4 linked regions of the Yarrowia lipolytica genome follow. The protein of the gene in region 1 purifies or fractionates together with the protein of each later gene. This does not show direct contact. Links are inferred from orthologs where the notes say so. Each region holds a gene or a part of one and is shown in the gene's direction. Other genes may lie near its edges.

The links.
Region 2: the proteins of YALI1_F23109g (region 1) and YALI1_A03964g purify together in Saccharomyces cerevisiae (affinity purification with mass spectrometry; 4 studies listed by BioGRID, with this or other methods). This does not show direct contact. The link is inferred for Yarrowia lipolytica from reciprocal best matches to the Saccharomyces cerevisiae genes PUF6 and NOP13.
Region 3: the proteins of YALI1_F23109g (region 1) and YALI1_A01061g purify together in Saccharomyces cerevisiae (affinity purification with mass spectrometry; 3 studies listed by BioGRID, with this or other methods). This does not show direct contact. The link is inferred for Yarrowia lipolytica from reciprocal best matches to the Saccharomyces cerevisiae genes PUF6 and FUN12.
Region 4: the proteins of YALI1_F23109g (region 1) and YALI1_C05813g purify together in Saccharomyces cerevisiae (affinity purification with mass spectrometry; 3 studies listed by BioGRID, with this or other methods). This does not show direct contact. The link is inferred for Yarrowia lipolytica from reciprocal best matches to the Saccharomyces cerevisiae genes PUF6 and RRP17.

What each region holds. Positions count from the first base shown.
Region 1 is NC_090775.1:2,308,729-2,314,010, forward strand, and holds YALI1_F23109g (uncharacterized protein), read left to right. Parts: upstream 1-2,252; coding exon 2,253-4,214; downstream 4,215-5,282. Other genes in the region: YALI1_F23095g (uncharacterized protein), read left to right, coding at 809-1,303; YALI1_F23133g (uncharacterized protein), read left to right, coding at 4,613-5,257. UniProt on the Saccharomyces cerevisiae protein: RNA-binding protein involved in post-transcriptional regulation. Component of the ASH1 mRNP which transports the ASH1 mRNA to the distal tip of the bud, where the ASH1 protein is translated and targeted to the daughter cell nucleus.
Region 2 is NC_090770.1:394,582-398,641, reverse strand, and holds YALI1_A03964g (uncharacterized protein), read left to right. Parts: upstream 1-2,214; coding exon 2,215-3,207; downstream 3,208-4,060. Other genes in the region: YALI1_A03937g (uncharacterized protein), read right to left, coding at 3,371-4,060.
Region 3 is NC_090770.1:102,141-108,442, reverse strand, and holds YALI1_A01061g (uncharacterized protein), read left to right. Parts: upstream 1-2,290; coding exon 2,291-5,431; downstream 5,432-6,302. Other genes in the region: YALI1_A01074g (uncharacterized protein), read right to left, coding at 431-689, 718-898, 946-1,012. UniProt on the Saccharomyces cerevisiae protein: Plays a role in translation initiation. Translational GTPase that catalyzes the joining of the 40S and 60S subunits to form the 80S initiation complex with the initiator methionine-tRNA in the P-site base paired to the start codon.
Region 4 is NC_090772.1:579,321-583,270, reverse strand, and holds YALI1_C05813g (uncharacterized protein), read left to right. Parts: upstream 1-1,872; coding exon 1,873-2,661; downstream 2,662-3,950. Other genes in the region: YALI1_C05820g (uncharacterized protein), read right to left, coding at 204-1,226; YALI1_C05789g (uncharacterized protein), read right to left, coding at 2,894-3,950. UniProt on the Saccharomyces cerevisiae protein: Essential protein involved in ribosomal RNA processing.

The sequences.
Region 1 (5,282 bases):
GTCAGTAATAAGTCGTTGTTGGGGAATAGTCTGTCAGAAGTTTTCCCCATATTGTAGATATAGAAACGGCCGAAGGGGATTGGTGATCTATACACGGATCATAGGCACAGGCACTACTGTACAATGTAGGATAGAAGATGGAATATCTCGCACGGAGAGACCGACCTATCAAAAGAGAATACAACTGTTGTTGCAGAATGATGCGATGCAAACAAACACTCCCACAGATGCTACAGCATTTACTCTGCAGTCCTTGTCGGAACGACTATACGCAGTGTGCTGAGGTTCGCGATCTAATTATGTACGAGTACGAGTACGAGTACATACTGGTACGATAGATAGGGTGTCGTTTGGACTAGACTGTACCAGGAACATCGGCGTACGAGCAGTGGTTCCTGACATCAACAATCAGTACGGCACTTGTATTATATTTGAATGGCGGTGCTCTTACAACCGCCGTGTTTTTAGTATATATATAATATCTCGTTCGGTGCTGTCTTAAGTAATTACTGACTCTACTTGTAGGTTGGACCTACCCCTATAGCACGGGTCATAGGCAAGCTGAAGAGATAAAAAGTGGATTTTCCACCAGAAAAAACATCAACCGGAATCAATCTGTCTTATTATAGTGACACAAATACTATTTTATAGCCCTCTGCCACCACTTCCACCCTCCTATTACCCTGCTGAGAGGAACCGTCCTCAGAAATACAGTTACCCTGCTCACTGATTGGGACCTGATTTTTCTTGTGCATCTGGATCCGAACATTTCATTCCGCACCTCTCTTTGGATCCACTCCAGCATGCCATGAGTGCAACCAAACCAGCCGAAAACGGCAAGTATCGGGTGGCGACGCGCGGCATGGTGGACGAGGACGTGTACGATACCCGCAACCGCCACGTGGCCGCTCACCAACAGCACCTCCGGCTGCGACGCATCAAAAATGTGCTGGCCAAAAGAACTGCTATCTCTGAAATGGAGGCGGACGTCATCCAGGGCGAACTGGCCCGCGACTTGCGTCTCTTGGTGGAGGCAGGAGCCCTTGAGCTGCCAGACATTGGCGATGAGCACCAGCTGGAACAGCTGTTGCGAGACGAGTTACAGTCTCACGAATCGGTCCATGGAGCTGTCGATGGGCTCGTCGACGGCGATCTCGACGGAAACGTGGACGTAGTCATGGATCTGACCGACGACGAAGATGGCGCACTGGAAGACGAAGAAGAACGGATGATCCAGGAAGCCTTGGAACTGGAGGCCCGGGACATTGAGCATCTCGTCAACCAGATGAACCTCGATCATTAGTTATTTATATTTTTCCATCCTTCTCCCCATGAACGCCCTGTGCCTCGCTCAGCTTTCTACTCTTGGTTAGCTTCGAGCTGGATGCTCTCGGATCCTCAGAGATCCAAGTTGCAATGGGCAAGACCAACCCCTTTCACCTCATTTGAGTACGCCCTCAACTACCAGTGTTGTCCGGTGTAATTACCGGTGATTACATTTTATTTATAGAGTAACCAGAGCCCAGACATGGTCCGTGTGAATGTCAATGTTGTACAGCATTTAGTCGAGGGCACTTTTTTAGACGCTTCACAATATGATTGAAGGTCATTAGAACTAAAAAAAAAGAGTATCAGTTCTAAATACAAGTAACGATTGTCAGAGTAAGAGCTTTCGGTTGATATGAACACGACCTTACCGTGCCACTGCTATGGGTTGTTCGTCTGGGTAATCTGTCACCGGTACACTTGCATTCTGAGACTGGCAACAAAGGATACATGGCGAAGCTGACGAAAACAGTAACATATACGTATTGTACAAGTACACAAATGGCAAGCATTATAGAGAACAGCTACGATATGAAATATTCTTTGAATTTCGTGGCTATTTTACTCTTTCTATTGAGGTAATTTGATCAACTAAATATACTTTGTTTACTTAATACTATTGTTGGATAGCTGGTGTGTACAAGACACCCAGAATCAGACAAGAGAATAGTGCCTTAAAAGAGTTATTTAGTGACTTAAAAAAACATACATCTTGAAAAATGCCATATATAAGACAAGAACAACTTCCCCCTGTACATATATTTCCCCACATTCTGCCCAAGTGGCGTTAGAATCGCCTCGTTCGCTCACCACTGATACGGGTAAGGGTTCTAAAATTTTATGAAGCTTATTCGAAATTATTTTTGAAGTTTTTCAAACTCGCATATTCGGCCACAGACACAGCTATACACTACACATTACACACAATGGGTTCTGCTAAACGATCAGCTGACAGTCGAGAGAAGACGGTGTCCAAGAAGGTCAAACTGGTGGAGAAGTCCACTGGCAAGAAGGGCGCCAAGAAGGTGGTTGAGGAGGTCGAAGAGGCTTCTTCCGAGGAGGATTTTGCATCTACTGATGAGGAACAGGATCAGGAGGAGGACTCCGATGACTCCGATTCTGACGACATGGAGATGAGCGACAGCGACGAGGAGAAGGAGGAAGATGACGAAGAGGACGCTCTTGACGACGACGAGGAGGATGAGGAGACCAAGGAGGACGGAGAGGAGGCCCCTGCCGGCAAGTCTAGTGCTGCCGAGAGCCATGCTGAGCAGAAGCGCCTGTTGAAGGAACGAAAGCTTGCTCGATCTGGAGGAGAGAGTATCGCTCAGATCAAGCAGATTTGGGAGCGGCTCCGAATGAAGACTGGTGTCAAGCCTGCTGAGCGAAAGCAGCTGGTGGAGGATATCTGGGCCATTTCCAAGAACGATATCAAGAACTTGATTCTCAAGCACGACGCATCGCGAATTATCCAGACTCTGTTCAAGTACGCTGACAAGGAGAAGCGAGAGATCATCACAAAGGCGCTGAAGGGCAACTACTACGACCTGGCCATCTCGTCTTACGGAAAGTACCTGCTGGTCAAGATGCTGCATTACGGATCTGCTGCCGTTCGACAATCTATTATTGACGAGCTGCACGGCCGGTTCCGAAAGCTCATGCGTCATAAGGAGGGTGCCTATGTGCTGGAGGATGCCTACAGAGACTACAGCACTGCTGCTCAGAAGCGACAAATCATCCAAGAGTTTTTCGGTGCCGAGTTTGCCGTTTTCCGAGACGCTGCTGGCACAAAGACCCTTAAGGATATTATCGAGGACGCCCCCGAGAAGCGACCCATCATCATGCGAAACCTGAACGAAACTATCACTGCTGCTGTCAACAAGGGTTCCATTGGTTTCACCGTCATTCATGCTGCCATGCTTGAGTACGTCAGCAACCTTGACACCAACAACTCGGAGAAGACCGAATTCATCGATCTGATTGGCGAGCAGTTTGCAGAGATGGTGCATACTAACGAGGGATCGCAGGTGGCTTGCAAGACTCTGGCCATGGCTTCTGCCAAGGAGAAGAAGGGTCTTCTCAAGTCGCTCAAGAGCTTTGCCGACACCCTGGCTGCTGATCAGTACGGACACATGGTCATGATGACTGCTTTTGACACCATTGACGATACCAAGAGTGTTGTTAAGGCCTTTTCTGGTGAGCTCTCCGAGAAGCCCGTGCATGAGCTGTTCATGGACAAGAACGGTCGACGACCCTTCCTGTATGCCATGCTAGGCCGAGACTCTCGATACTTCAACAAGCTGGTTCTGGATCAGCTCAAGCAGTACGATGAGATGAAGACCGCAACTGGTACTGCCAAGAAGGATGATGCTCTTCGACTGGAGGAGATCAACAAGGGAATGTCCCCTCTGATTCTCGAGGCCATTGCCAACAACGCTTACGAGCTCATGAACGACACCCTGGGTTCTCAGTTCATTTCTGAGGCTCTTCTGTCGTGTGACGGTGACAAGTCTGAGGCTATCGCTGCTCTTATGGAGGTTCTGTCTGCCGATCCCGCCGGTGACAACCACGTCATCAAGCAGCCCAACGCTCAGCGAGCTCTGCGAACCCTCATTCAACAGGGACATTGGAACAACAAGGAGAAGAAGGTAGTCAAGGTCGAGACTCCCATCGACTTCGGTGCCAAGTTCTACGATGCAATTGGGGATCACGTTGTCGCATGGGCCACTGGAGACGGTGCTTTTGTCATTGTGACTCTGTTGGAGAACCTGGAGGACGATAAGCTGAAGAAGGAGCTCAAAAAGACTCTCAAGGACAGTAAGAAGGAGATTGCTGCTGCTGCCGAGGATGGAAACAAGGGTTCCAAGCTCATTGTTGACCTGCTTTAAGCGAAAACACGTTGTATAAAGATATATTTGGTAATAGAGGTATGATAGGATAAGTTGAGGATACTGTTTTACTACAAGTAAAGAGTTGTTTGCCACTCGCGTACAAGTGCATACGATAGAGAGGGATGCTTTGATATATACATATATATTTTTTTTGGAAAGATCAATCCATAGATCAGAAATGTTGAGAATTTCCAAATGAAATAGAAGGAGATCGAAAAGGAAGTATTAACAAGTTACCAAGGTATGGCATATTTAATAGTTGGAAAATAAATAAATAAAAATAACTAAAAAAAATAAAAAATCAAACCAAAAACCAACACAAACAATACTACAAGTAGTCTCGGTGGTAGTCACACCAAATACCCATCTAAGCATTTTCCTTGATACTCGCTTCTATGCATGGCAAAACTCTATATCAAAAAAATCCCAAATTATTCTTCACGGTGCAGGGAAAGATATCACCACTTCTTCACAACACCTTTGACAAAATGGTACGACAGTTCAAGCACCACGAGGGCAAGCTGCTCAAGAAGGTCGACTTTGTCAACTGGAAGACAGATAATGGCCACCGTGAACAGCAGGTGATGGGCACCTTCCATCTGCAGGACCGAGACGACTACAACAAGTACAACAAAATCTGCGGTAAGATCCGACAATTAGCATACAAGCTATCTCAGCTCCAACCGGACGACCCTGTTCGAATCAAGCACGAAAAGCTGCTTCTCGACAAACTCTACCAGATGGGCATTCTTTCCACTAACACCACCGTTTCGCATCTGGAGACCAAGATATCTGTGTCTGCTATCGCCAAGCGACGACTCCCCGTCATCATGCACAAACTCAAGATGACCCAAAAACTGGACGCTGGAACTGCCATGATCGAGCAGGGTCACGTGAGAGTGGGTCCTCACATTGTCACCGACCCTGCGTTTCTGGTGACCCGAAACATGGAGGACTTTGTCACCTGGACCGACCGATCCAAGATCAAGAAGGCCACTCTCAAGTACCGAAACGAGCTCGACGACTTCAACACTATGTAAGTTTTTATTTATGCATGCTACTATT
Region 2 (4,060 bases), on another chromosome or scaffold:
TATTTTTTTTTCAAGTCAAAGTCAAACCACCTCAGAACTTTGAATGGCCCAGTGGCTAATGGGAAGGTGTGGATATGAGGCACTTACTTGGGCGGTGGTCAGCAATGGGTAAAGGTAGCCAACTCTGGGGATTATGGATTCAGTTGTGTGGTCGTTTCCGTCGATTGTGGCTGTTTCCGTCGATTGTAGCCTTTCCGTTCTCCGGAGAGTTACTGGTGGCCGATGTTGACCACCACTTCCTTTGCCACACCGACACCTTGAACCAATGCAGATATCACAGGTTAGGGCAAAGCTCCTGTGGAACAGGGAGACTCAAAGCGAACCGGATTGGCATGCTCGGCGGTCTCAAACAGCCCAAATTCTCGGCCACTCTTTCTCCGTCAACCGTAACGACAGGAACCTCCGTAGAAAAGGTGTAGTAAAAATCGAGCATTTTTTACAATAGCCGTATCACATCAAATTGCCCAACCAGACGCTTGTATGTTGTAGTTGTACGATAGAACACTTCAAGTAAATCGAATCCCAAACCTCGTTCTGACGCTGACGACTTTGCCCCAAAACCAAATGCTGTTATGACCTTCCCGGTGACCCAAACAATGTACAAAGAGTACGTGATGTATCAGAAATAACACTGTCGACATAGCAAGACACCGATTCACAATATCGTAGTGTTTCTCACAGCATCGTAATTTTTCTCACAGTCTAGAAATGAAATCCTGCTGATGTACGATTATAATGTATCGGCAAAACAACACTTGTCCTAGAACAGTGCTCGTACTGTGCCCCATTCCTGCTCATGCAAGTCGCGATTCCTGCTCATCTCAAGCCGCATCCAGAAGTTATCTCTCCTTTTAAGACACGAGTTTGTATCAGACGGGGAGACGAAGACTTTGCCGACAGTGATGTATCTTGATAATAATACACTCTCTCGAACATGCTTTATTATGTGTGGAACAAAAGTGGACCTAGCAAATTATTGCCACATGAACTGGGTATTTGAGCCTCCCATCGAGCTCATGTCACTGTAAATGAGTCCCAGAGGCTACGATACAGGTATCGTATCGTAGCCTACAAGCAGGTCATCCTCATCTTCGCATGATTAGCACTTACAGCAAGTGCCAATATGCACTTTATTGCGTTCATCAAGTGTTGATATGCACATGAGTGCAAGCCTCATTGTTCCTTCTGAAATAATCCCCATTTCGTTTGTCCGATGAAACAGATCGAGTCATGACCTGGGTATGTGATTAACAGGACGGACATATATAGAGGGCGGTTATCCTTGTAGCGCCAGCAAGCTACGCCATCCAACGTTCACTCCGATCACATCATGTCATACATCCCCGTCAAATATTACAAGTGCCAGAAGTGCAAGAAAATGATACGTACACGACACATTTTCGCACATCCTCAGCAGTGTCCCACGTCCGCAGGGTCCATCAACAACTTGGATTACTATTGGTAACCTCATCAGTGAGATCAACAGTTGCCATCGTGACAATTGAGATCAGCGAGAGCCACACAATCAGCCACCAAGTCAGTCACCAATTCAGCCACCATACGCAGCCGCAGAACTCTGAAGCACAAGCTGGCATTGCAAGTGTTTGAATCCCTCTTTAGCCGATGCACTATCTCCCGTTGGGCATTGCCATTTCGAAGGTTCTTTCGATTTACCAGTTACCAAGATTCTTTAAAAGACACTCATCTCTGTTGTGAACATAGTGATGTTTTCTTTGAGAATGGTGTCGGAGGAAACCCCAAAGAAGACAGGCGTTTTCTTTGATAAGGAGGTCAGCAATCGCTTTGTGATACTATAATGACGACTTCACCCAATAGATGGGAAAACGCAAGGTGAAGAAAGGTGAAGGTCTGTATGAGGCAGTGACAAATAGTAAGAAGAGTGTGTTACAAGGGAAGAAGCATCTGAAAGCAGAAAGGCCAGAAATTGGTCTGGGCAGGGTGAGGATAGCCGGCGCCGCCTTAGGTGAGTTGTAAGTCGGTAAATTAACTATATTTAATCAATAATACTTGGGATGTTCTTTACCGTTGTCACCTCTCCACCTTGAATAATTCCAATGCACCCGAGTTCGCATCATAGTTGGGACGTATTTTCAACTCATTAATAAAAAAATCGACCACCCTCAAACTCTATTGGCGGCCTGCATTATCTGAAAAAAATTCAGCCTCGAGACAAAATTCAGCTACCACCACAACATGAGTGATTCCGAGGTGACCGTCAAGCGAAAGATCGAGGAGGAAATTGAGATCGACTTGGAAAAGTCCGCTCCTCTGTCCAAGAAACAGAAGCGTCTCGAAAAGAAGGGAAAGCTGCCTGTCGAGAAGGCCGATGATGAGGAGGAGGGCAAGTCCAAAAAGTCCGAACATGGAGTGTGGATTGGCAATCTGTCGTTCGACACTTGCAAGGAGGATATCAAGCGGTTCATTCTGGCTAAGCTGGGTAAATCTGAAGAGGACTCCGACGCGGTGGTGATTGAGGAGGACGATTTGCTTCGAATTAACCTGCCCAAGTCCAAGGTTACCAAGAAGGTGAAGGGTTTCGCCTACGTTGACGTCCCCACCGCCGAGAAGATGGAGCGACTGGTCTCCCTGTCAGAGCAGATCCTTAACGGCCGAAAACTTCTTATCAAGAACGCAAACTCGTTCGAGGGACGGCCCGAGAAGAAGGACCCTACAGACACAGACTCACGGGTGCTGTTTGTTGGAAACCTGCCTTTCAACGCAACCGAGGAGATGCTGCAGGACCACTTCAAGTCCTGCGGAGATATTCGACGGGTTCGAATGATGTCTTTTGAAGATACCGGCAAGTCAAAGGGCTTCTCTTTTGTGGACTTTTACGACGCCGACGCTACTCGAAAAGCTCTTAAGGGACGATTGTACAAGTACCTCGAGGGTCGAACTCTGCGTCTCGAGGCCGGAGAAGACCGAAGTAAGCGAGTGCCCAAGCCTCGAAAGGTCGAGGGTGCTGTCGCTGACGAGAGTCAGTCCGCACAGAAGGAGTACTCAGAGCCTGCCCAGGTTGAGGATAAGCCTGCATACACCGAGAACAAGGAGTCATACGATAAGCCTAAGAGAAGCAAGGAGGACCGACCTTACTCGCGAAAGAAGCCTGGACAGGTCCTGGCCAGTGCCCAGAGAGCCTCTGTGGGTATCGTCAAAAGCACTGGTAAGAAGATGACTTTTGACTAAGCAAAGGGGATGAACAGCCACTAACGGTGCTTACACACGGAAATGTACTTATAGACTGGAATAAAATCGCATGTTTGAATGACCTAAGTATGTATGTATTATGTACCATATGTACCACTTGTACACATTACCCGAACCACACAATGTTTTGTCAAATGAACGGTTACTCCGATGCAAACCCCAGGTCTTCGGTGGAATGAACCTCTCCTTGAGATATTTCAACCGGCTGATTTTCAATGAGGTCCACAGGTTCCACAGAGTCCGCAGAAGCCACAGAATTAGTCTCATGGGTCTCAGCCTCGAGGGATTCGGTCTCTGCTGTATTTGGTTCCGGACAGTCTATATCTCTGTGACCTCTCTTCTTGCACCTGAGGCACTTGTCCTTCGATGTGTATTCGATATGCGACATTTCCAGAGGGGCAGTGCACTCTTGAGTCAAGTGGCCAAATTCCCTGCAACGAAAACACTTTGTAATGGGAGACGGTGGGGAGTAGTCAGTTCCATGACCATATCCCAGCATTTCAGAGAGCTTATCATCACCATCACTTTGAGCTTGGCGGTCAGCATCGCTTGCTGTTTCGATAGCTCCCTCAAGTGAGCCCGAACTTTCGGCATAACTCGTATCGCTTCCCTTTTCAACAGCTGCCTTAGGAGGCGAGCACGACGACCTGCCAGCGGTTGACTGACCACGCACATAGGTTATACCAAACGGAGAATAAGTGCAGTCTCTGGCAATATGACCACTCTCACTGCACTTGTAACAGATGGGTACTTTTTTGTCTCTTTTGCGGTTGGGTCCATATTTGAATAGACAATCGGCAGTCGAGTGATCGTTAGTGCGACAGTGCAAGCA
Region 3 (6,302 bases), on another chromosome or scaffold:
GATCTTGGGCTGCACATTACCGTTTCAAAGATTTTTCTCTTCATGCCCGATTCACCAAAAGTGGCCTTCAGCGGACGATCCCTTCGCCTGTGTCGTGATCAAAACGGTGATTTTCCTGATAACTGTGGCCGAGAAAACCGCAGAGAAGAAAAACGCCATCTTCCATAAGAAGGTCGATAATAGCATTCTTCGAATACTCCATTGCGCGAAAGTTTTTCTTGTAAGCGGCGTTACCATTGTTCAGTTGAACCAGGCCTGGTCACAGCTCGCAACTGAATCCGGTTTAGCTGACTCCTGTCGCCAATCAGAATATATATCATAGATTGTAGCTCGAGTAGTCTCAAAGTCGCAGGTTGGTCAGCATTTGATCTCGTCTTTTCATGGTGGGTTCGAGTTTGAAGTTGGCCAACATGCGCCTGTTGAGATCACTCTAGAACTCAGGTCCTTCTCTCGCAAAGGTGGACTCCTCCTCGACTTTAACCATAGCATTGACCCACTCCATGAACCTGGAGTTGTCGGCGTCTCCAGGCAGATAGACAATGTCTGTATGACAGACCAGCTTCCTATAAATGTCGTAGGCAGTCGTGGATTCCTTCAGGTGTCGGATGTCCTCCAAAATAGTCGACCAGTCGAGATGCGTAGGCATAGTAGAAGAGTCGGCAAAGTCCATCAGTCCCCATCGGTATTTGCTCGTAAGTCGTCGACTTCATGAGGCACGAAAAAATGAGGTTCTTGATAACGGGATCCTGCATGATATAGTTCACGATAACATGGGGAGGGTTGGTGTAGTCTAGATCCGCATCCTTATCACCGTTGTTGTCGAAGATGTGGTCCTTGAGGTCGCCAATGGCGTCAAAGTTGTCCCAGTACTTGGCCACGTTCAGATTCTTAATGTATCCTGCCCATAGTAGTTGATAACTCCCTGGATCTTGTCTTCGCTGGCACCGGGAAACTTCTCCACGAGAACAAGGACCGGAATATGGGTGTATGCAAGTTCAAGGGCATGATTCATGGCCTCGTACTCCTGCGCGGTAGAGTATGACTTGCCCGAGATCCAATAATGACGTAATTGAAACCGGCTGAGACCGAGGAGGGTACTCAGATCTCAAGTAAAGTCGTCGGGCAAGGTGAGAGTTGGTGAAGTTCTAGTAGCCCCATCGGTGCTTCATTTCTTCATTCAGACGACGATTGGGGTTTCATGGGACATGGAGCAGAGCAGTCCAGACTCTCGGATAGTGCGGGGGGTTCTGGACACTGTAGTTCCGGACATTGATAGTGCGGTCAACAACTGGAGTCTCTAGGCGACCATCCGTGACAATATCACTTCACCAGAGAAGCTGTGAATGGTAGCGAGAGTGAATGGTAGCGAGAGTGAATGGTAGCGAGACTGTTTCATTTGTGGAGACTGGCAACCAACTCGCTGGTTTCCTCACAATGCCACTTGTTTGGACTACTCTCAATACTACTCTCTTAAAGATTAAGATGAAGGTGAAGACTAACTGCAAGAAGTACTGCAACAGTATGTACATTATTTTAGTCCGATGCCCCATCTTTTTTTTTTTTATATTTTTATTTAATTATATATATATTAATATTTTATCTTATTTTTATTTTTTTTTTTTTATATTTTATTTTTATTTTTATTTTTATTTTTATTTTTTTTTTTTTTTTTTTTTATTTTTTTATTTTTATTTTTATTTTTTTTATTTTTATTTTTATTTTTATTTTTTTTATTTTATTTTTTTTTTATTTTATTTTTATTTTTATTTTTATTTTTTTTTTTATTTCTAATTCTAGGGGGAAATACAAACACAGGCTACAGAGGCCTAAAAAAAAATATGAACCCCCATATCGGACTCGGATCCAGGTATTCAGAAGAGCGCAAGACAATGCTCGCACCCATCCAGACCAACTATATGGTATCTACCACAGAATCGAACCCACAACCGCGTTCGATCTGTGAAAAATTTTGAAGGAAACTTTAGTTTGGCGCAATGATGATGCTGCAAGGAAATCGTAGATATGGCCTAGATTGATATGTTTGAGAAGTGGATTGCGGTAGTTCGACAAAGCCGAGCCAGAGTTATGTGAAACCTAAGAAACAAACAAAAAAATCTCATATCGGGGATTTGCCACATTTCCACCGGTCCTTTTCCCTTTTTTTTCCCGCTCTTTGAGGGCAATCAGTGTCTTCTTGTAACAAGGTTTGGATCACGTGATTTCTCACTTTTTCACCCATGTAGTTACACATCTCAACCTGAATACCTGACCATTTTCACGACACGACAAGATGGCGAAGAAAGGAAAGAAGCAACAAAGCTACGGCGACTGGAGCGACAGTGAGGAGGAGAGCATGGACACGACTCCCCAGAACCTCGACGGGACCCCTGCTGTGGAGGACAAGGCTGCTGGGGCTGCTGATGTGCCCAAGGGCGATGAGAGCGCCTCTGCGACCCCCGAGCCCACCCCTGCCGCTCCCGAGGAGGCCACTATGGACGATCTTGCCGACGAATTCGAGGGCGGAGGACTGATGGGAGCGCTGCGAAAGTCCAAGAAGAAGAAGGACGCGCGAGACGCCAAGGACGCAAAGGCCGAGCCCGAGGAGGCTCCTGTGATTCTGACCAAGAAGCAGAAGGACAAGCTCAAGAAGGAGCAGGAGAAGGCCAAGAAGAAGGCTGCTGCCGACGCACGAAAGGCCGCTGCCGACGCAAAGGCTGCTGATAAGAAGGCCAAGGGAGAGGACAAGAAGGAGGACAAGAAGGAGGACAAGAAGGTCGAGTCCAAGTCTCCTGAGCCCGAGGCCGCCCCCGCCGCCCCCGCCAAGAAGCTGACTGGCCGAGCTGCTGCTATTGCCAAGATCAAGGCCCAGCAGGATGCCATCAAGGCCCAGGAAGCCGCTATGGCTGCTGCCGAGGAGGAGGAGCGAGCTGCCGAGGAGGCTGCCCAGCGAGCTGTTGAGGAGGCCGAGAAGGAGAAGGAGGCTGCACGGCTCGCCAAGAAGGAGCGAGAACGACAGAAGGTCGAGCGACAGAAGGCTGAGGGTACTTATATGACCAAGAAGCAGAAGCAGGAGCGAGCTGCCGCCGAGGCTCGACGAGAGCAGATGCTGGCTGCCGGAATGATTGTTGGCGGTGGACGAGCACCCGCCAAGCAGACCAACAACAGACTGCCCACCAGAACTCCTGCCCAGAAGCAGCCCAAGGTTGAGGACAAGGTTGTTGAGAAGCCCAAGGAGGTCAAGAAGGAGGCCGAGTCTCCCGAGGAGGACGATGTTGACGCCCTTATGGACGACTGGGAGACTGCCCTGGACTCTGACGGAGAAGTCAAGGACGACTGGGAGGCCATGGCCGACGAGAATGGCGAGATTGAAATCACCAAGAAGGAAGACCCCTCCATCAAGGCCAAGGAGGAGGCTGAGGCTGCTGCCAAGGAAGCTGAGGCCCAGGCTGCCGCTCTGGCCCGTCAGAAGGCTGCTGATGAGGGCACCCAGCTCAACGACGAGACCGAGCTGGAGCGACAGCGAGTTGCTGCCGAGGAGGCTCTTGAAGAGGCCCGACGAAAGTCTGCTGCCATTGCCGAGAAGCGTGCCGCCAAGCACTCGCGAGCCATTGCATCTGCCAATGCCGGAAACCTGCGATCTCCCATTTGTTGTATTCTGGGCCACGTCGATACCGGTAAGACCAAGCTTCTGGACAAGGTGCGACAAACCAACGTGCAGGAGGGCGAGGCTGGAGGTATTACTCAGCAGATTGGTGCCACCTACTTCCCTATCGAGGCCATCAAAAAGAAGACGGAGGTCATGGAGCAGTACGGCGAGATTGACTACCACGTGCCTGGTCTGCTGGTGATCGATACCCCCGGTCACGAGTCTTTCACCAACCTGCGATCCCGAGGTTCGTCGCTGTGTAACATTGCCATCCTGGTGATTGATATCATGCACGGCCTCGAGCCCCAGACCATTGAGTCCATCAAGCTGCTGCGAGACAAGAAGACGCCCTTCGTGGTCGCTCTCAACAAGATTGATCGACTCTTCGACTGGGAGGCCATCCCCAACAACTCGTTCCGAGATTCGCTCTCCAAGCAGAAGAAGTCTGTGCTGCGGGAGTTTGAGGACCGACTCGAGAAGACCAAGACCGCTCTTATGGAGCAGGGTCTCAACTCTGAGGTCTACTACAAGAACAAGAACCTGGCCAAGAATGTGTCTCTGGTCCCCACCTCCGCCATCACCGGCGAGGGTATTCCCGATCTGCTCGCTCTTCTGCTGCAGCTGACTCAGAGCCGAATGTCCAAGCAGCTCATGTACCTGTCTGAGCTCGAGGCCACCGTTCTGGAAGTCAAGGTTGTCGAAGGTTTCGGAACCACCATCGATGTTGTTCTGTCCAACGGTGTCTTGCGCGAGGGTGACCGAGTCGTGCTTTGCGGTCAAAACGGCCCCATTGCCACCAACGTCAGAGCTCTACTCACTCCCCAGCCGCTCAGAGAGCTGCGAATCAAGTCTGCTTACCAGCACCACAAGGAGGTCAAGGCTGCTCTCGGTGTCAAGATTGCCGCCAACGACCTGGACAAGGCCGTGGCTGGTTCTCGTCTGCTGCTTGTGGGTCCTGATGATGATGAGGAGGAACTCATGGACGATGTCATGGACGATCTTACCGGCCTCCTTGACTCCGTTGACAAGTCTGGACGTGGTGTGTGTGTCCAGGCTTCCACTCTTGGTTCCCTGGAGGCTCTTCTCGACTTCCTCAAGGATATGAAGATCCCCGTCATGTCCATTGCTCTAGGTCCCGTCTACAAAAAGGATGTGATGCGAGCCACCACCATGCTGGAGAAGGACAAGTCGCTGGCCATCATGCTGTGTTTCGACGTCAAGATCGACAAGGACGCCGAGCGATATGCTGACGAGCAGGGTGTCAAGCTTTTCTCGGCTGATATTATCTACCATCTGTTTGACGACTTTGTCAAGCACCAGAAGAAGCTGCAGGAGCAGAAGCGACTGGACACCATCGACAAGGCCGTTTTCCCTTGTGTTCTGCACACTGTCCAGATCATCAACAAGCGATCGCCCATGATCATTGGTGTCGACGTTGTTGAGGGCTCTCTGCGAATTGGAACCCCCATCTGTGCCGTTAAGACCAACCCCGAGACCGGTGCACGAGAGGTGCTCGAGCTCGGTAAGGTGACTTCCATGGAGGTGAACCACAAGTCCGAATCTGTTGTTCGAAAGGGCCAGACCAACGCTGGTGTGGCTATGCGAATCGATACTTCTTCCGGACAGCCTACTTGGGGCCGACACATTGACGAGAAGGATGTTCTGTACTCGTCCATCACCCGAAAGTCCATTGATACTCTCAAGGACCCCGTTTTCCGAAACGACGTGCCCCGAGAGGACTGGCTGTTGCTCAGAAACCTCAAGACTACTTTTGGAATCAAATAAGGGATCTCGGAGATTAGGAGATCAGGAGCGGACAACATCAAGCCACTGTTATAAATGGCCTGGTACGTTGTTATTGCTCTGACTATTGTGTAAGATGTACGTAAATGAAAATTGATATTGCTGATTGAAGTGAGTTGATACTGTAGGCCGCTTCAAGAGGTTTGGACGGTTGTACGTAATATACACTGATTCCCGTAAGAGCCGATCTGGTCGCAGTAGACATATGGCTGCGTGATAGTGTAACTTGATGTCTTTAGATAAATTCTCTGGCATTTGGACTCTGTATATCATTTGACACTTTTTCAACTGCATTTTTTTTCCGCATTTTTTTCCGCATTTTTTTCCGCATTTTTTTTTTTTCTTACGATACATATATTCCCAACTAAACCCAACTAAAGCCTACTACTGTATGTTCACTGAAGTAGCAAGGTAGCAAGTACAGACACTGTAGTCAGAACTATGTGAGATACAGCCTGGAGCGATTAACTGCCGTACAATCATCACTTGCCCAACCGCCTTCTATAAATGTACTTTTCCTAGGTCTTTAAAGTGGTAGAGGAGAAACCCAGCTTCACGTGTAGTTATAGCTGTACCGCAGACAAAGTCACGATGGAACATGTCGTAACGTGGGTACTTGGTGTTCATTGGCATTAGACGAGCTTCAATGATTGTAGCGTATTGTGGTATGGGGGGTTTCAGATGGTTCGAGAGGCGGGTGATTGTCACATGTTATATTTTTTTAGAGAACTTGGATATTCGTCAGATGTATATCGTCAGATGTATATCCGTCAGATGTTGATCCAAACAAGTTGCTCACACCCTTACATCCTCTTCGGACACCTGGTCAACCGGTGGTTTCTCCTTTCGATAC
Region 4 (3,950 bases), on another chromosome or scaffold:
TCTGAGGGGGATATCGCAAGCAGTGCTGTAGAGACGACGAGATCGACACAGCGCCAATAACTTTACATGTATACACATTCAACTGCCGATTCTGGCCACATACACTAACCATTCATCAAGGGTTATACAAATACATTGCATTATGTTTACATCTATGCTATATGAACCGCACTGGTTCATGTTAGGGATCGGTCTAATAGCAACTATGGCTTAACGACCTTCTTTTTCTTCTTCTTGAGAGGTTTTCGACCCAAACCAGCCAAAGTCTTCTCAGAGTAGGTAGTATCGCATGTAGGACATCTTCTGTTGCTGGGAATCTGGCTCATGATACACAGACAGACAGAGCAGACATAGCCAATATCCACCACCTGTTTAGTCAGGAAACATGCTGCTCGAAAGTCCACATTGGACTGGGTGGGCAGCACAATATGGGGTCGTAAACTGGGGTCTGAGATAAAGCCCGATAGCAGATACTGAACCAAACCCTTGGGTGTTTTGGAGTTCTTTTCACTGATATCCATGTAGATGCCGTGTGTCGAGTCGCATGCTTGTTGCAGAAAGACCTGGTCGGATCCAGGACCCAGTTTGCACACATCGACGGGGATCTTGAGCTTTTGGGCGGCGAAAATGCAGTTCATAGTAGGGATGTATTGGATGGTTTCGTTTTTGTGTCCGACGGTGAGCAGCAGGATCCTTGCTCGCATTCTCGACTCGTCCACAAACACATGTTTGTTTATGAACCCTAGAGCTAGACTCAGTGCTCCGGAGATGGCCGAGTTGTGTTGTTTCTCCTCCTCCACGTAGTTGGTGTGGTTCAGCATGTTCCACAGCTCCGTCTGCACAACCTCGTCCACCGTCTTGAATTGTCTGTACATGGAGTGGTCCTTCTTGCTGGGTGCCTGTTCTCCATCGCTTACACTCTCCGATCTCTCTTCTCTCTCCTTTGATCTAGTCGATTCAACGCCGCTTTTAGGAGGATACAAAATTCGAGCACCACTGGCGTTGTATCCAATCACATTAACGCTGTTGGAGTTGTGCAGAGCCAAGTGGGCGTTGATGAAGACGAGAATGGAAGCCACAGCCTCCGAGATGGATATTTGCGACTTGATTTCTTCCCACGACGGCACATGGGCGTCAATGATGATCGACAACAACGACGGCGTGTCGTCCAGAGTCTGATCCTCCGTGTCCTTGAGCTGGCGGGACGTTCCATCAATGGCGTTCATGGTGGTGGAGGAAGGCTTCGGTGTCTGAAAAGTAGATGTTAGATAGAGGATTTGAGTTTGCTGATTTGAATGAGCTGCGAAAGTACCAGTACAATCCTGTCTTGTACTTGTACGAGTGTACAGTTCTTTTTACACGTGTATAGGGGTGGGTACATATTGATGTGATCATGTGATATAATTAGTTGATACTGTACTGTGAGTGGGATTACTTATCCAGTTCCTTTCTTCTCGGTCTCCATCAAAGCTTAGTCATGTCATATTTCAGTGGTCAGCCAGCCTGAACTTACCTCCCTACAATATCGTGCCAGTAGAGTGAATCGAACTCACGCCACTGCCCATACAATTGTAACATGTCGCTCTATCACACTCAGGGTTCGTATTTGAAGCTGTTATGCATCACTGATCGGTTCGAAACTCGGCCCGGATCTTCAATCCATGGTCCAAAGTGCTCAGAATGTCCCGGCTTCCACTTCCGCTTCCTCATTCTTCTTTTCATTTCATACACCCCGTCTACAAGTAGTGCCTTCCTCATAACAGAGTTCGAGTCTCATGCAGGTCTAAACCTCCACTGATATTTTTCATTTAAGCGTTCACCTCATTTTCGAGTTTTGGCCTGACCCCTATATACCCCAAGACACTCCCCAAAATGGCCGCCACCAACAGACAGATCTTGACGCAGGGCGACCGGTCATACGCCAAGAAAAAAACTAGCCAGTTTGGCGTGGATGAGGTCTCCTACGACGCCGCCAACCGGAAGGAGTACCTGACGGGCTTCCGAAAGCGAAAGCTGCAACGAAAGGAAAAGGCGCAAGAGAAGGCCAAGGAGCAGGCGCGGCTGGACCGGATCGCCGAGCGGAAAAAATTGCGAGACGAAAGAAAAGGTGACCAGGAAAAGGAGCGAGCTCGAATGCAGAAGGCCATGAAGGATATCGAGAGAGCTCGATCGGGCTATTTCAGCACTGACGACGAGAAGGATTCTGATTCTGGCGACGAGTCTGAGGATGAAGAGGAGGACGAAGAGGAGGACGAAGAGAAGACTTTAAAGAAGTCGAAAAAGTCGTCTAGCACTGATGAAGACGACTTCTCCGACTGGGAGGGTATCGATAAGCCCGGAGTGCTCAAGAAGCAAAAGAAGAAGTACGTGGACGGTCAGGGAAAGAAAACCACGGTGACCATTGAGGCCGTGTCCCTTGATTCCGATGATGAGGACCAGAACAACACATATGTGGACATGTCCAAGGCTGACGAGGTCTTGAAGGAAAGCTTGGACAAGGCTGGTCTGGCCGCTGTCTACTCCGGCATGGCTGAGCCCAAGGTCAAGAAGCTGGTCAAGAAGACCAAGAAGAAGTTCCGATACCTGTCTTCCACTGAACGAAAGAAGAACCTGGACAAGGAGCGAGCTCGAGCCAAGGCCAAGCGAACCAAGAAGGAGTAGGACACGTTGGACCGTACTGGTAGATAGTTTATTGCATGCATGTATTATAGGATAGCCAGGAATAGGGCGTAGATATGGTTGGAGTGAGTTGTAACGAGTTTCAGTGTGTTGCGTGTGATATGAATTCAACACCGAAGTGCGAACTTACTACGTATATATCTACAGTACATACTGTACTATTATCAGATCATTAGCCGTTACTCCTGGATAAATAAAATGCTCGAATACTTCTTTACAGCATATACACAAACTCCTTCTGGGTCTCACTGATGGTCGCATGATTTGTTCCACTGATGCGTCGTCGTTTCAGAAAGAAGACAATACCCAGAGTACCAAATACCGAAGCGATCATGAACCCCATGTTGATCCAACATCCCCGTTTGAAGAGTGGACCATCTGTTGAGGTGAAGACTCTCAGGACCAGTACTCCATACCAGCAGCTCACAGACGAGAAAATGGCGAAGGACATGAGTCGCTTGTTTCTGCCCTGAACATTACTCCCCAGCCATCCACAAAGAGAAGCAAAGGCAGCAGTTGCATTAGGAATCGTGAACCAGCCCCCTCCGAATTTGATCCACCAGTTGTGTTCTGAAGGCTTGCACAGAATAAGTGCCCATCCAATGATGCAGAAGAGATAATTCATGAGCAGAAACGGGGACAAAACTTTTTTCTGGGCAACCAAATACCCCTGAAAACTTGACCAAATGACACCAAACACGAGAATAGTCCATATGATCAACTGTCCCAAGGCTGCGGTATACTCCAACTCTTCAAAAGTCGCACTTTGAACCTGTGCATAGCATGACACCAAACAGGAGTATGTAAAGAAGCCAAGGATGGAGATAAACCAAACCAAGGGATCTTTTGCAGCGGAAATCAGACCTTCTAGAGGTGTCTCGGTCGGTTCAATTGGGTTTCCTCCTCCGTAATCTTCTTCAGTAAGTGTCTTGAAGACGTTGAATGCCTGCTCTCCGTACTTCGATATCCATTTTGGAGAGTAAAAGTTCTCAGGGAGCATGTACCAGACCACCGGAGCAAACACTACTGAACATAGGCCGGCTATAAAAAAGTCCCAAGACCATCCGGGTTTGCCTGCATTGATGAGACGAATCGCGATGGCCAGCATAGTGAACAGGGGGACCATGAACCAACTTCCACCCCAGACACAACCGACCACAAAGTGAGCCTCGTATCGGCCATGGTGTTCATAAATCATGTGGAGAAGAGCAGGCAGAGCAAAGCTCATACATGCTCCCATTACTGCTCTATCACAAATCAGCCCTGCATAA